Xenopus tropicalis: one gene and its partners. The protein of the gene in region 1 interacts with the protein of each later gene in a biochemical or structural test. Links are inferred from orthologs where the notes say so. Each region holds a gene or a part of one and is shown on either strand. Other genes may lie near its edges.

Region 1 (4,149 bases):
AAAGAATGACCAGTAACTTTTGTATTCAACAAAGGACTTACCTGAATACCAGCGTGACTGCACAGGTAAAAATCAAACTCTGATGGGTGGGTGATCTTTGTGTCTACGGTGGTACCGGCTGGTATATTTCCACTCTTCCCTACCTATGTGGAATAAAAACAAATCAATTGTGAAATACAATTCTGTTAAAGCAAGTATCCCTTCCCATACATGCAAATAAAGTCTGATTCTGAAGTACTGGTATGTACACAGTATGTACACCTTTGAATTTTCTCTTCACCACCTTATCTCCCAACAAACCTCAGCTGATATCTTGCATTAATGGATTAAATTTTCCTGCCTGATCTACAAACAGACCTCCACAGAGACTGCTCAATATTGTCTGGCCAGCATACACAAACTGAAAATCTTAATTTTTTCTATATATACACATGTATGGACAGCTTTATGGCATTGGTAAGAAGCATTTTGATCTTGGGCATAGTGTCATGTTGGCGACATTCCTCTATTAATGAAGGTTGTATTCTGCTATCCATTTCCTTTTGTCCTTGGGGCACTACAAACATGCAATTATATTTCTTGTGTAAACAGAAATAAGTCCCCTAATGGTCCAAAGGTTTTCAGATCAGAGATGCTAACAGATTTAACAGCACATTAAGGGTATCAAGTCATCTGGTAAAAACATATCAGTCTTATATACAACCTGTTTACTACTTACTCGCTCATTTCGGTCTGTACAGAATAGCCGTGTGTGATGCCTTTTTTGCACTACAATAAATGTAATTCCCGGCTGGTAATCCTTCTCCAGTTTAATACAGGCTTCCCTAATGGCCAGAAGCTCATGATGGAGCACCTGTAGATTGTGGAAATCAGGTATTCAGTTAGCTAATTTTTCTTGTATCTTTGATACATTCTTGCATTTAAATTAAATTATTATTTCTAATAAAGTAACCTAAAGAGACCTGTTGAAACTGTCCTTCCGAGACACCGTCTCTGTAAAAGATGATTCTTGTGGGCTTGAAGCGTGTTGACTTGTAGAACTGGATAAGCAGCTCTCGAACCATGGCAGACAAATCCTGGATGATTTCTTGCCTGTGCTGCTGTACCCTCACAGTGGCACAGTATCGGTTGGGGTGTGCATCCATACTACCTACAACCTTAAATTAAAAATAAAAGAATAAAGTCCATTAAAAAAAAATACATTCTGGTATAGGGAATGCATGTAAAGTAATCCTCAGTGCGACTCTTAAGGCTATCATAAGTCGCACTAACTATGTAAATATTCTCTATGCTCACCGCAGCAATTGAAGGCTTTTTGCCGTCCCCTGCTGGTGGGTGGGTAACATCAGCTCCAAGAAATATGACAGGCTGTTGAAACACAGGAGGTCTGCAGGAGAAATGTGTGTGTTACAAAACAAATAGCAGTATGACAACAATCAGTGAATAAAATGTATTCAAAGGCAAAGATTGCATTGATAATAAAGAAATTAAGAGGCTCTTCGAATAAATTCACACAATATTTGTATTTCAGGCCACAGACAAGAGCAGCCTAATGGGCTACAACACATAAAGTGCTTTCTCAGTCAAGGTGGTTTTTCTGGCCTAATTGCACTCCGTCAAATGAGGCTTGGGGGTCTTAAAGGGGTTGTATACTTTTGTGTTAACATTTAATATGATGTAAAGACTTCATTGGACTTTTTTAATTATATGCTAGGGATCAAATAACCCTAGCAACAGTGGTTTGAATGAGAGACTGGTATATGAACAGGAGAGGACCTGAATAGAAAACTAATAAAAAGAAACAATAAAATGGTAGGCTCACGAGATCACCAAACAAGAGAATCATTCCCTTGATATGCCCACCTATGGTGGGCGATAGAGTAAACTGGAATAGGATCCGTTGAAGTAAGGGCCAAATCAATGAGCTGGTACGGTTGCCAATCTGACGGAAAGATCAAATATGCCTGATCGGGCACTTTTTGGCCAGATCTCAGTCTGTTGGCAATATGAATCTGTCTGAAGGACCCCCCCAATTGGCAGCTTAAATCTACCTGTGTAGGAATTGCAGGAATTAAATCTTCCTTTAGGAATTGCACTCCCAGTGATTAAAAATTAGTAGGGAAATACTGGCAAATTAGTACAACTACATGTGTTTGAAGGATTCCAGTAGGGATATAATACCATGGAAGGAGGAGTGAGGAGCTTGAGGGGGGAAAAAAAAAAATACATGACGAGGGTGAAAAAGCAACACTAATAATTATACACTCAATTCTTGATATTTCTATTAGACAAAATGTGAAATAAAAGTATGACAGCCATTCAAAATTTATATTTGACAACTTACCTGCCCTGGGGCAACAAGATGTTATTGACGCCTCCTAATTTTACATTGATTTTTAAGCACAGGTTAGACAAGGTTTGTGGTGTGGTCCTCTGCACATTTTTCATCTGAACACACTGAGTAGCCATTCCCAGAACAGTGTCCCCCACACGTTTCACTTCCGCTGTAAAACAAAAAAAAACTATGCATGTAGGTTCTCTTTCAGATGATAATACCCTAAGATTATTAATATTTTCCTAAACATATACATACCCATACACATTGATTTGTGTTTTCAAAAGATTAAAGGGCATGTCAACCCCCCAAGTTTTTTGGTTTTTTTTGCCTAATAAAAGAAAACATAATTCCAAGCAACTTTCCATTGTGAATGTATTGAACATGTCAAGTTATTAGTAAATGTAATTGCTATTGAAAGCAGCATTTGCTGAACTCCTGGTTGTTACTTTTTAAACAATGTTGCAAAGATCAGTCTCCTCCAGCGAGTCAGGCCTGTCAGGCTGTTGCCTTGTGTTACATTGTTTCATATGCCAGAGCCCCCAGGGCAGGGAATAGAAAAGGACACTACTTCTAATAGCAATTATAAATACAAATAAGTCAAAAACCATTGCAATTTTGTCATGAATGTATATTGCAAAGTTGTTTAGAATTAGGATTTCTTTTATTACTCAACAAATTGTATTTTTTGGGTTGACTTTATTTTTGACTGGGAATGATGTTGACAAATGCTGATTTTAATAGTAAGCTGTTAATGTTTTGGAAGCAGACATGCATGTCTATTAATCTTTTTTTTAAGTATGAAGCTTTGGTAGGAGGGAGGCAAACAGCCGCATATACACAGGGTAAAACAGCCCAAGGGTAGTTATATTTGAAGCTGCAGAAGATAAAGTCCCTATGATCCAACGTATGACAAATGTGGTTGAATTTCAGTTTGTACTCACCATAGACAGGGGTTTTCCCAGGAAGTATTACAACGACTAGTTGTAGCCCTGTATAAGTATTCTTCAGATGCCTGAACATTGGCTCAACGCTATCTGCTCCCTGGGCATATTTGCAGAAACACGGCTGTCCCTGGATAGGCATCCCGGCATCACGTGAGATCTTCCTCAACTGTTCTGTAAATGTCCTGGTAAAACACCAAACTATAGTGAGGTTTTTTTTTTTTTTTTTTTTTTAAATATGTATTTATTAACTTTCCATTAAAACGGACATAACAGAAAATAAACATTGTAGGTTACTAATAGTTTGGTGATGACAAAACAAATCTGCACTCTGGCAGATTTTTTTGGCCTATGGTTGTACAATCACCCCTGATTTCCATTCTGAGCTATATACAGCAACTGGTTTACATGGTGACTCCTGGGGGGGGGGTGACCTTCGGTCCTGGTAAATTTCACAGGTTATTCTCTGTTTATGTAGAAATCAAGAAATCAAGCAAATTAGGAAACACCCTAACAGATGTTCCCCATCAGACTTCATTAGTATGCACCATTACCCAAATCAATTAGGCAAAAAGACTCTCAGAGAATGGTAGAAAAATCATGATTAAAATTTAACCTTTATTAAACTTCAATAAAACTCAAATTATACTAATAGAAAAGAAAAACCCCAATTAAAAATAGCATGGGGTGGAGAAAAAGCTCTGTTGTGAGGAGTGAAACGCACGTTGGGCAGTTTGATGGGGGAGGTTTGGGTGTTGATGTGGGGGATCACTGCCTAATCGGGGGCAGGCTAGAAGGGGTGCACGATTGATGTGCAATTTTAGCTGCGGGGGTGGAACGCTTTGTGGACAAGGGAGGCTGGGCTACAAT
Region 2 (4,149 bases), on another chromosome or scaffold:
CGATTTGGCACTAGGCCAGCCATCCCCAATAGATCCTGGAGGGCTGGATGGAGAGTTACTGCTGTTCATAAAGTCATAAGAACCAAAAGGAGAATCTTCAAGCCTGAAACCACTTGAAATAGCACCTAGGGCAAGAAATTGCAAACACACAAGATTATTACTGTAATGGTCGAGGCAGGGAATATCTGCTCTGTGTCAGATTTTGGAAAAACATCTGGATGCCGCTACAGAGTTTGCATAATTAGAGACAAAGGATGACTGATTAACAAACCTGCAATAGAACTGACTTCTGCTACACAGTTTCATGAGTCAGGACTAGAGAACCCATGGAATTTCCATGGGTTACAAACTTCTTTATAAGGATAATCTCTCTTTAAGGTAAACACAAACTAGCATGCATTCAAATTTTACCATGGTTACTGGAATTTTGATCCAGAGAAGTATTAGAAGACATGCTGTCAACTGTTGTCCACTTCCTCAGTCGTGACTGTGGCTCCTTTACAACTCCGAGATCCATATTTACATTCGAATTTGAGTTCAAGCCTGAAAAGGAGACAGATTTCCTTGATTTAATGCTGTTTAAAGGAACAGTTGTTATAATAAAGCAGTTGCACAAAAACCATGTATAAAATAAAAACCATCACTAACCTGAAGGGAAGCCACCAAAAGAACTGATTGGTGAAGGGACTTTTGGTAGCTCAGGGGCAGAGTGGGGCAGCACATTCTCCAGAAAGGATTTCATGGGAGGCTGGTGAAGCATTTGCTGCTGTGATTGAGAAATGCTCTGCTTCATCAGCAGGTTGGGATCAAGCTGACGTGCCGGCTGCTGCGTACCAAGAGACCGGGCCTTGAAAGATCAAAAACAAAATATTTAGAAAAAGACAAAACCATAAAAACCCCACTAATGCAGCTGTCACATTACAAACACTAAGATTCGTTTAACATTGAAATACCTGCTCATGTTGTTGGCGACCTCCTGAAGGCACCCCCCTCTGGTTCTGAATCTTCTGCTGCTGATTCAATAACCTCTGCGGGAAGAAAAAGTGGCCAGTTACAAACATGGAGAAAGGGTGAATGAAGACCACACAGCTCCTGAAACGGTCTTTGTACAAGGGGATGGGGACCGATTAGTCCAACTTACTTGCAGCTGGGAAAGCTGGTTTAATTGGGAAAGCTGGTTCAACATGGCTACGTGCTGGGGGCCAAAAAGGGGGTTCAGACCACCATTGGCTGGCGGATACTTCAGTAAAGAAGGAGGAACCTGATAAAGAAAATAAAAATTGTGTCAAAGTGGACATGAGCTATGGAAACAAGTGCGTAAAAACAAAAACATACATACAGAAGGTGCTGAATTTACATTTATAGGTTTTATGTATGGTGTGCCATATTGTTCCTTGACAACTAATTCTTTTGGCCAAACTTTACTAAAATTGTTTGCTTTGCTGTAACAAGTGATTTCTTTTGTACAAAGCCCCTCTCATATAATGTCATATAAAGGGGAAAGTATCCTTATATCAGTTTAGAGGACCATTGCAGACACCTTAAACAAATACAACCAAACATTACAACAGCAGATGGATGTATAAGAAAACACTGCTATCCAGGAAAGTCATCTCACACACATGCGAAGAGAAGAGAGGCAGGCACTGGTTCAATGTATCAGAAAAGTCCACAACAGTATTGTAGTTCCAATGTTCCATATAAGGGATCCTTATAGTATTTAAATTGAAGTGGTGTATATATTTTAACTAGGGATAATGCTAGAGAAAGTGGAGCTTCTGAGAGGATAAGGCACTGGAAGGCAGTAAAGCTGACAAAATTAGTGATGCATTTTATAAAGAAGAGAAGGAAGGAACCAAGCCTACATAGTGGAGGGAGAGCAAGTAAACTGCAATGCAGTGAAGGTGCAGATAGATTATGTCATTCAAGCAAAGATCCTCATTAGCTCTGCTCAACCATACAAGGGTACTTGTCACATTAACATGCTGGGCAGACCTGGACCCTAGCTACAAATTCTAATTGCTAGAAGAGCAGCACGAAGTGTGTGCTTTTGATGCTTGCACTCCTATCGCCCGAGAGATCCAGAAGCAGCAGAGTAAAAAACCTGACTTGGCAAAAGGGGCAAGTCAGCACTGAATTATGCTCCTGTCAGTCAGCTGGAATTAGACTTATGACCATATGAAAACTACACAAATCCACATTCATCAAAATCCTACTGATCTACCACTAGGGGTCACTGCTCTGCAATGCTTTTATAAGGAGGTATTAAAAGCAATTTCCACCTTATATATATATATATATATATATATATATATATATATATATATATATATATATATATTTTTTTTTTTTTTTTTTTTTTTTTTTATTAGCCATACATCATCGCTTGTTGCCCAATTTCCATAGACCCAGCAATTCCTGCTGTTAGCACTACCCTTTCCATAGATTAAAGCAAAACAGATAGGGATGAAGCCATACAAATCTAATTAATAAAGTCAACTGCTATATTTTCATTAGAGGCCACAGATGAGATTTAAGGGATGCCATTAAAAGGCAGACAATACAAATCCCTGCCAATACACTGCTTGGCCATGCATAAGTGATTACAATGTACCTATGTAACATGCATTATAAGACAAGCGTATGCAAAAGTAGCAACAAACCTGAGGGGGTATAATGGGAGGAGGCACTTGCGCACGAAGGTTAGGCTGAGATGAGTTAAGAGATTGTGCTGGAGGCTGCTGTGCGCCCCTGGCTTGTGCTGCATTGCCAACACCAAACATACTGGGATTGCCATTCTGTGGGAGGGGAAAATACATACAAATTAAGCACACAAGCACATTTTACGGAGACACTTGTACATAAGAACAAACATGTTCAAAGAAAAGAAGTCCCATATGTGCTAAGAGAAGCCGACAAGCATGAAGCTCTACCTGGCTCGAGAGCTAACAGCCACAAAGTAAAAGGCCACTCTATTCTGTAATCTCATTTGTTCCTGCCAACAGGTAATTATTTTTTTTTTTGAGGATTAATAAACAAATTGACAAGAAGAGCTGAAAAAAAAGGTATGGTTTATATATGTCACCGCAGCAATTAAAAGTCAGACAGAAGTATGTGATTAGTTATTCAGAAAACCGTTAACCAGAAAGCTCTGAATTACAGAAAAGCCATCTCTCATTACAATGCAAATAATTCAGATTTATAAAAATGGTTACCCTAAAAATAATATTATTATTTTTATTATTATTATTAATTATTATTATTAACACTACATTGTGCTTGATCCCAATAAAGAAAATGAATGCTTACTGTGGAAAAATAATCCTATTGGGTTTACTTAATGTTTAAATTAGTTTTTAGGAAATTTAAGATATGGTGATCCATGGTGACCCCTTATCCAGAACCCCAGGTCCTGAGCTTTCTGGATAAAGGATCCTGTACCAGTCCTGTTAGTAAATATTATGCACAGTAATACTGTGCAATTCCTATGAGTCATTTTGCATTGGATTAAAGAACACACAACTCTTGACTTATACAGTGGTTCTATAACTTTGACGGACCAATTCCTAAAGTTGTGGCCTGATTTGAAAGACTCACCTGTCTCACAGAATTGACGTTTGGCATTCCCAGCCCTGGGAAAGAGCTGAGGGACTGAGAAGATAGTGCACTATTCAAAGGGGGAAGCTTCGTGTTCTGATTGGAAATAAACTGCATGCTTTGCGGCTCTTCTGATACAATACCATCCTGATGGTGGTCATATAAAGAAAGCACAAGTGCCCAGAACAGTAGAGAAGGGTGAATGTGATGAAGGCAGGATCCAAGGGGCGAAGCACAAAAGCATTCAGGATGATTGCAAGAGAGAGAGAAAAGCAGAACACAGTCAGCAGAATGTGCAAAGCAAAGTTAAAAAATATTCCACCACCAGAGCAGTAACAACCATGTCTACTAATCATCTGTAACCACCCTTTGTTTGCCCTAAGCAACATGGTTTTTAAGGGTCAGTATCACAAAATTACCTAACGTATATATTAGAGTTAATTTATAATTAAACCAATTATCACTGTCCAATCTATATAGAAAGTACTGAAGTAAAACAAAAATACAGGAATTGTTTTCTAATACAGCAAGGTGGAAGAGTGACCCCGACAC
Region 3 (4,149 bases), on another chromosome or scaffold:
GACTCCATTTTAATCAAATAATTCAGAATTTTAAACTGATTTCTTTTTTATCTGTAGTAATAAATCAGTACCTTGTAATTGATCCCAACTAAGATATAAATAATCCTTATTGGATGCAAAACAATCCTATTGGGTTTAATTAATGTTTTATTGATTTTGTAGTAGACTTAAGGTATGGAGATCCAAATTATGGAAAGACCCCTTATCCGGAATACCCTTGGTCCTGAGCATTCTGGATAACAGGTCTTATACCTGTATCTAATTTTCTTTCAAATGCAAAATTAACTAGTTTTACCAGGAATTTTGGTGTTAGTGTTTTGCCACCGACATACTGGAACCTTACCGGAAATCATCAGGAAGCGATTTGACTCCTACCCCAGCATCAATAGCTGTTTGCGCTCTCAGCTCTTCTGCTGTAAGGAGGCAATGTAATCGATAAAGTATGCTTGGCAAACAAACAGCTTTTCTCCATAAGGATGCTGGGACTGGATGTATAGCACAAAGCTCTGGAACCAGGATCTTTGGTGAGGAAAAACACAGATAAATGTGTAAATAGTATCATTAAGGCTACGATATCCCATCATAGTCTCAAAGTTAAACACATTACCTGTTTGTTTTGTAAACTCTCCCATTTGGCTTTTCTCTTTTCAGCACTGCTTAATGGCAGAGCTTTACCTTTCTGATTCAGATGGCGAGGAGTCAGCAAATTAAGTCTTAAAGAAACAAAAAATATATATGAATTACTGAAAAAAACCAAAATTACTGTAGGCAGAAGACAGAATAACAAACCAAGGTGAATGTACAGAATTCCATTTCTAAACAGCACAAGTATGTCAACAGCTAAACTTATTATGGCTAGCCTACTCTAAGCTAACAATAACTTTTTTGAGCTGTGGATACACAATAGCACAATCTAATTATAAGCTAAAATACAGTTAAGAGTTACTTTGGGTTCAGATAAAAAAATACATCCATAATTCCAAAATACATCCCCCAACATAACTGAGTCTGCATGGCGGGCAGGGGGTCTGACCTATACACAGACATGGTATGAACAAATGCAAAAAAAATATATAATTCATTTGTGCACACAACAAAACTTTTCAGGGACATTTCTCTCTATCAGTACCCTCATATTTTGACATCCCAGTAGGCCCAAATGCAACAAAACATGACAGGTCTTTAAAGAAAAGGAGCTTCAATCCTCCATCAATTTATCCCAACATCAAAGACCTGGCCATATGACCAACGACATTGCAGTTCCATAGTAACAGAGAACTATTATATTACCATATAAATAACAAGTATTTGCACACCAGCATGTTTTCTTTTCATACCTTGATGATGTGTGGTCCACATCCAAAAGTGGCTGATTGAGGTTTGTGAGATCGAGGTTATACTTTGTTTTGTAATATTCAGCAAAGGTTTCATATTCAGGGGAAGGGAACTTGCTGAGCGGTGTAAGATCAGTGTATACATCAGCTACATAAAATCTGTGCGGCTGATCAAAATTTCGATATCTAAAAATGAAATAAAAAAAGGAATTACAAGAAATACATCGGATTCATGGTTGGCTATTCTAAAAATAATAAATAAAAGGTTGCTTTGCTATTATTACAAACTATGATCCACATTTTATCAGACTTATCAGCTTCAAAATGTTGCAATATTTTTAGAAAAAGATAACACTGCAGAAAGGGAAAAAACATTACTTGCCTTGGAATGATAACAGCATCCTGGTAGTCTTCTAATTTGAAAATAAAAGGACTTTCAGCTGAATACTGTGTATTAGGTATACCAGTACGTGCTTCTGATTTCTCAATATCTTCTACAAATTTGAAGTCAATGTCCAAAGTGCCAGAATCATTTACTACAAAAATGAAAGTTCAATCTTTAATAACTCATGATTCACAGAATAAGCTACAAAGCTCAGAAACATTGTATAGTACAAAAAAATAAAAATGTTTTTCAAGCATTAAATTAACAAATCCTTACTGTATAGTAAAATGACTAACAACCCAACTTACAGTGCTACAGACAGGTACACCAATATCACACTTGTGTACACTGGTATTACAGGTGACCCTACAATAAATGGTAAATTAAATTTCTCACCCAGGACTTGTGAATTAATTTTTTTTTTTTTTTTTAATTTTTCAAATTAAAAGGTTTGTAATATGTGTTGTACAGCTCTGTGAAAAATGTTGGCATTGTAGTAGTTTTATCATACAGTCTAAAATATTATTACATAATCTAAAAACACTTCAAATCTAAATGCTTGTTTAAACCTTAAATTTGAATGCACATGGTGTGCAATGTGTATTTTTTTCTCAGTATTTCATAGCTCTTTGGGTGGGAACAAAATGCACAAAATTACCCCTCCTGTCATATGAATGAATATCATCTGTAAGTGCCCAGTGCAGAAACATGCAATTGATAATCGATTATAAAAAAAAAAAAAAAAAAAGGCACATTTCAAAGGTTATCTAAATTAACTGTCCCAACATACCAAAATGTAATCAAAAACATGGAAAACAATTCTCTTCTGGACTTTGTTTACATGTTAAAAAAAAACAAAAAAACCCAAACTTAAACGAGCCACCCCTCCAAGCAGCATCTATGCTTTAAGGTGGCCATACACGCACCGAAATTATCGTACGAAACCTCGTTTCGTACGATAATCGGTGCGTGTATGGCATGTCAGCGAGCCGACCGATATCGCAGGAAGCTGCTGAAATCGGTCGGCTCGCCGATCGGCCAAGTTAGAAAATTTTGATCGGGCGCCATAGAAGGCGCCTGACCAAAATTCTCCCTTCAGAGCTGAATCGGCAGAAGGAGGTAGAAATCCTATTGTTTCTACCTCCTTACCTGCCGATTCAGCCCTGAATGGTGTGTGGCGGATCTGACGATGTTTCGTGCGACCGACGGTCGTACGAAACATCGTGAGATCGCCACGTGTATGGCCAGCTTTACAGAAGTCTCCTCTGTCCTGACCTGCCATAAATTTGCAGGTTTGTGCAGCGGCAGAAGATTGTGCCTTTAAATTTACTTACCAACGTTAAGAGGTAGAACACAGTAGGCACAATCGGCTACTGTGGGTTTAAATTCTAGTGCAGGTTTCTCAAGACGAAGAATGTGTGAAAAAATGTACTGGTGGAGTCTAGTAATGAGCTCAAGTTGTTCTAAGTTTAATGTAAAACCAGACTTCTTTAGTTCAATTGATATGGTCACCTCTCCCGAACGAGTATAGACAGGAAAGTGAGGAATCTGAAAGAAATTGAAAAGATATAAAAAAAACAGAACCATAATGTCTATGCAATATGTTGCAATCAATAATGTGTGCCCTACATAAACAGCTGCCCCAACAGGACGCAGCCAAACACAAACATCTGTTCACTTTTTAAAAGTGAAAAGTTTTAAAGTCTACTTTATGTTTGGTTTATTTCTTCCTTGCTCTTTCTCTGCATACAATTTGTAAACATGGCTGAGGTATTCCTATTTCACTACAGGTGAAATAGTTGTAAAGTATAATAAAGCTTATGGAAAAAATACTATGTGGACAGTAAACATAAAAAGTGTGCATGCTTAGTAAAGAACAAAGAGCCAATTTACAGTTATAAGTAAACTAGTTAAAAAGCATAAAAGTGGTCCATCAACCCATTTTAAATATGGCTTGTTCTTTAAGGCATCAATTAAGAACAGCAGTGAACTAAATAGGAACAACTAAAAACTTGCCAAGTAATGCTTATTTTCATATATGATATATATATATATATATATATATATATATATATATATATATATATTAAACAAAAATATGAATCGCATCGCTCAGGACTTATAACAAAATTGTAGTTTATTAAGTGTAGAAACAGAGAACTGACGTTTCGGCCACAATTGCAGCCTTTCTCAAATGTCTGACTGGATTCAGACGTCTTGGTCTGTTAACTGCTCCTCCCAGTGAATGACCGCTCTGAAAATTGCCCTGATTTCCAATATATTAATCAGAAGTGTCTTTTCCGATTCCGACCAGAGTCCCTGGGCAATTTGAGTCTTGAAAGTTGCTCCCCAACCTGAAAAGCTGGCATCCATCGTTATCACCTGCCACGTTGGTTTCTTTAGTGACCGCCCCTGAGATAGGTGTGCTGG

The links.
Region 2: the proteins of ago2 (region 1) and tnrc6a form a complex in vitro, tested with the Homo sapiens proteins (2 studies listed by BioGRID). The link is inferred for Xenopus tropicalis from reciprocal best matches to the Homo sapiens genes AGO2 and TNRC6A.
Region 3: the proteins of ago2 (region 1) and dicer1 form a complex in vitro, tested with the Homo sapiens proteins (2 studies listed by BioGRID and IntAct). The link is inferred for Xenopus tropicalis from reciprocal best matches to the Homo sapiens genes AGO2 and DICER1.

The regions. Positions count from the first base shown.
Region 1 is NC_030682.2:146,787,446-146,791,594, reverse strand, and holds part of ago2 (protein argonaute-2), read right to left. Parts: intron 3,465-4,149; coding exon 3,280-3,464; intron 2,505-3,279; coding exon 2,345-2,504; intron 1,388-2,344; coding exon 1,297-1,387; intron 1,158-1,296; coding exon 963-1,157; intron 854-962; coding exon 719-853; intron 144-718; coding exon 42-143; intron 1-41.
Region 2 is NC_030685.2:20,145,315-20,149,463, reverse strand, and holds part of tnrc6a (trinucleotide repeat-containing gene 6A protein), read right to left. Parts: intron 3,745-4,149; coding exon 3,598-3,744; intron 2,799-3,597; coding exon 2,664-2,798; intron 1,262-2,663; coding exon 1,142-1,261; intron 1,029-1,141; coding exon 954-1,028; intron 848-953; coding exon 649-847; intron 544-648; coding exon 412-543; intron 126-411; coding exon 1-125.
Region 3 is NC_030684.2:88,588,345-88,592,493, forward strand, and holds part of dicer1 (endoribonuclease Dicer), read right to left. Parts: intron 3,268-4,149; coding exon 3,054-3,267; intron 1,871-3,053; coding exon 1,708-1,870; intron 1,521-1,707; coding exon 1,338-1,520; intron 714-1,337; coding exon 608-713; intron 520-607; coding exon 344-519; intron 1-343. UniProt on the Homo sapiens protein: Double-stranded RNA (dsRNA) endoribonuclease playing a central role in short dsRNA-mediated post-transcriptional gene silencing.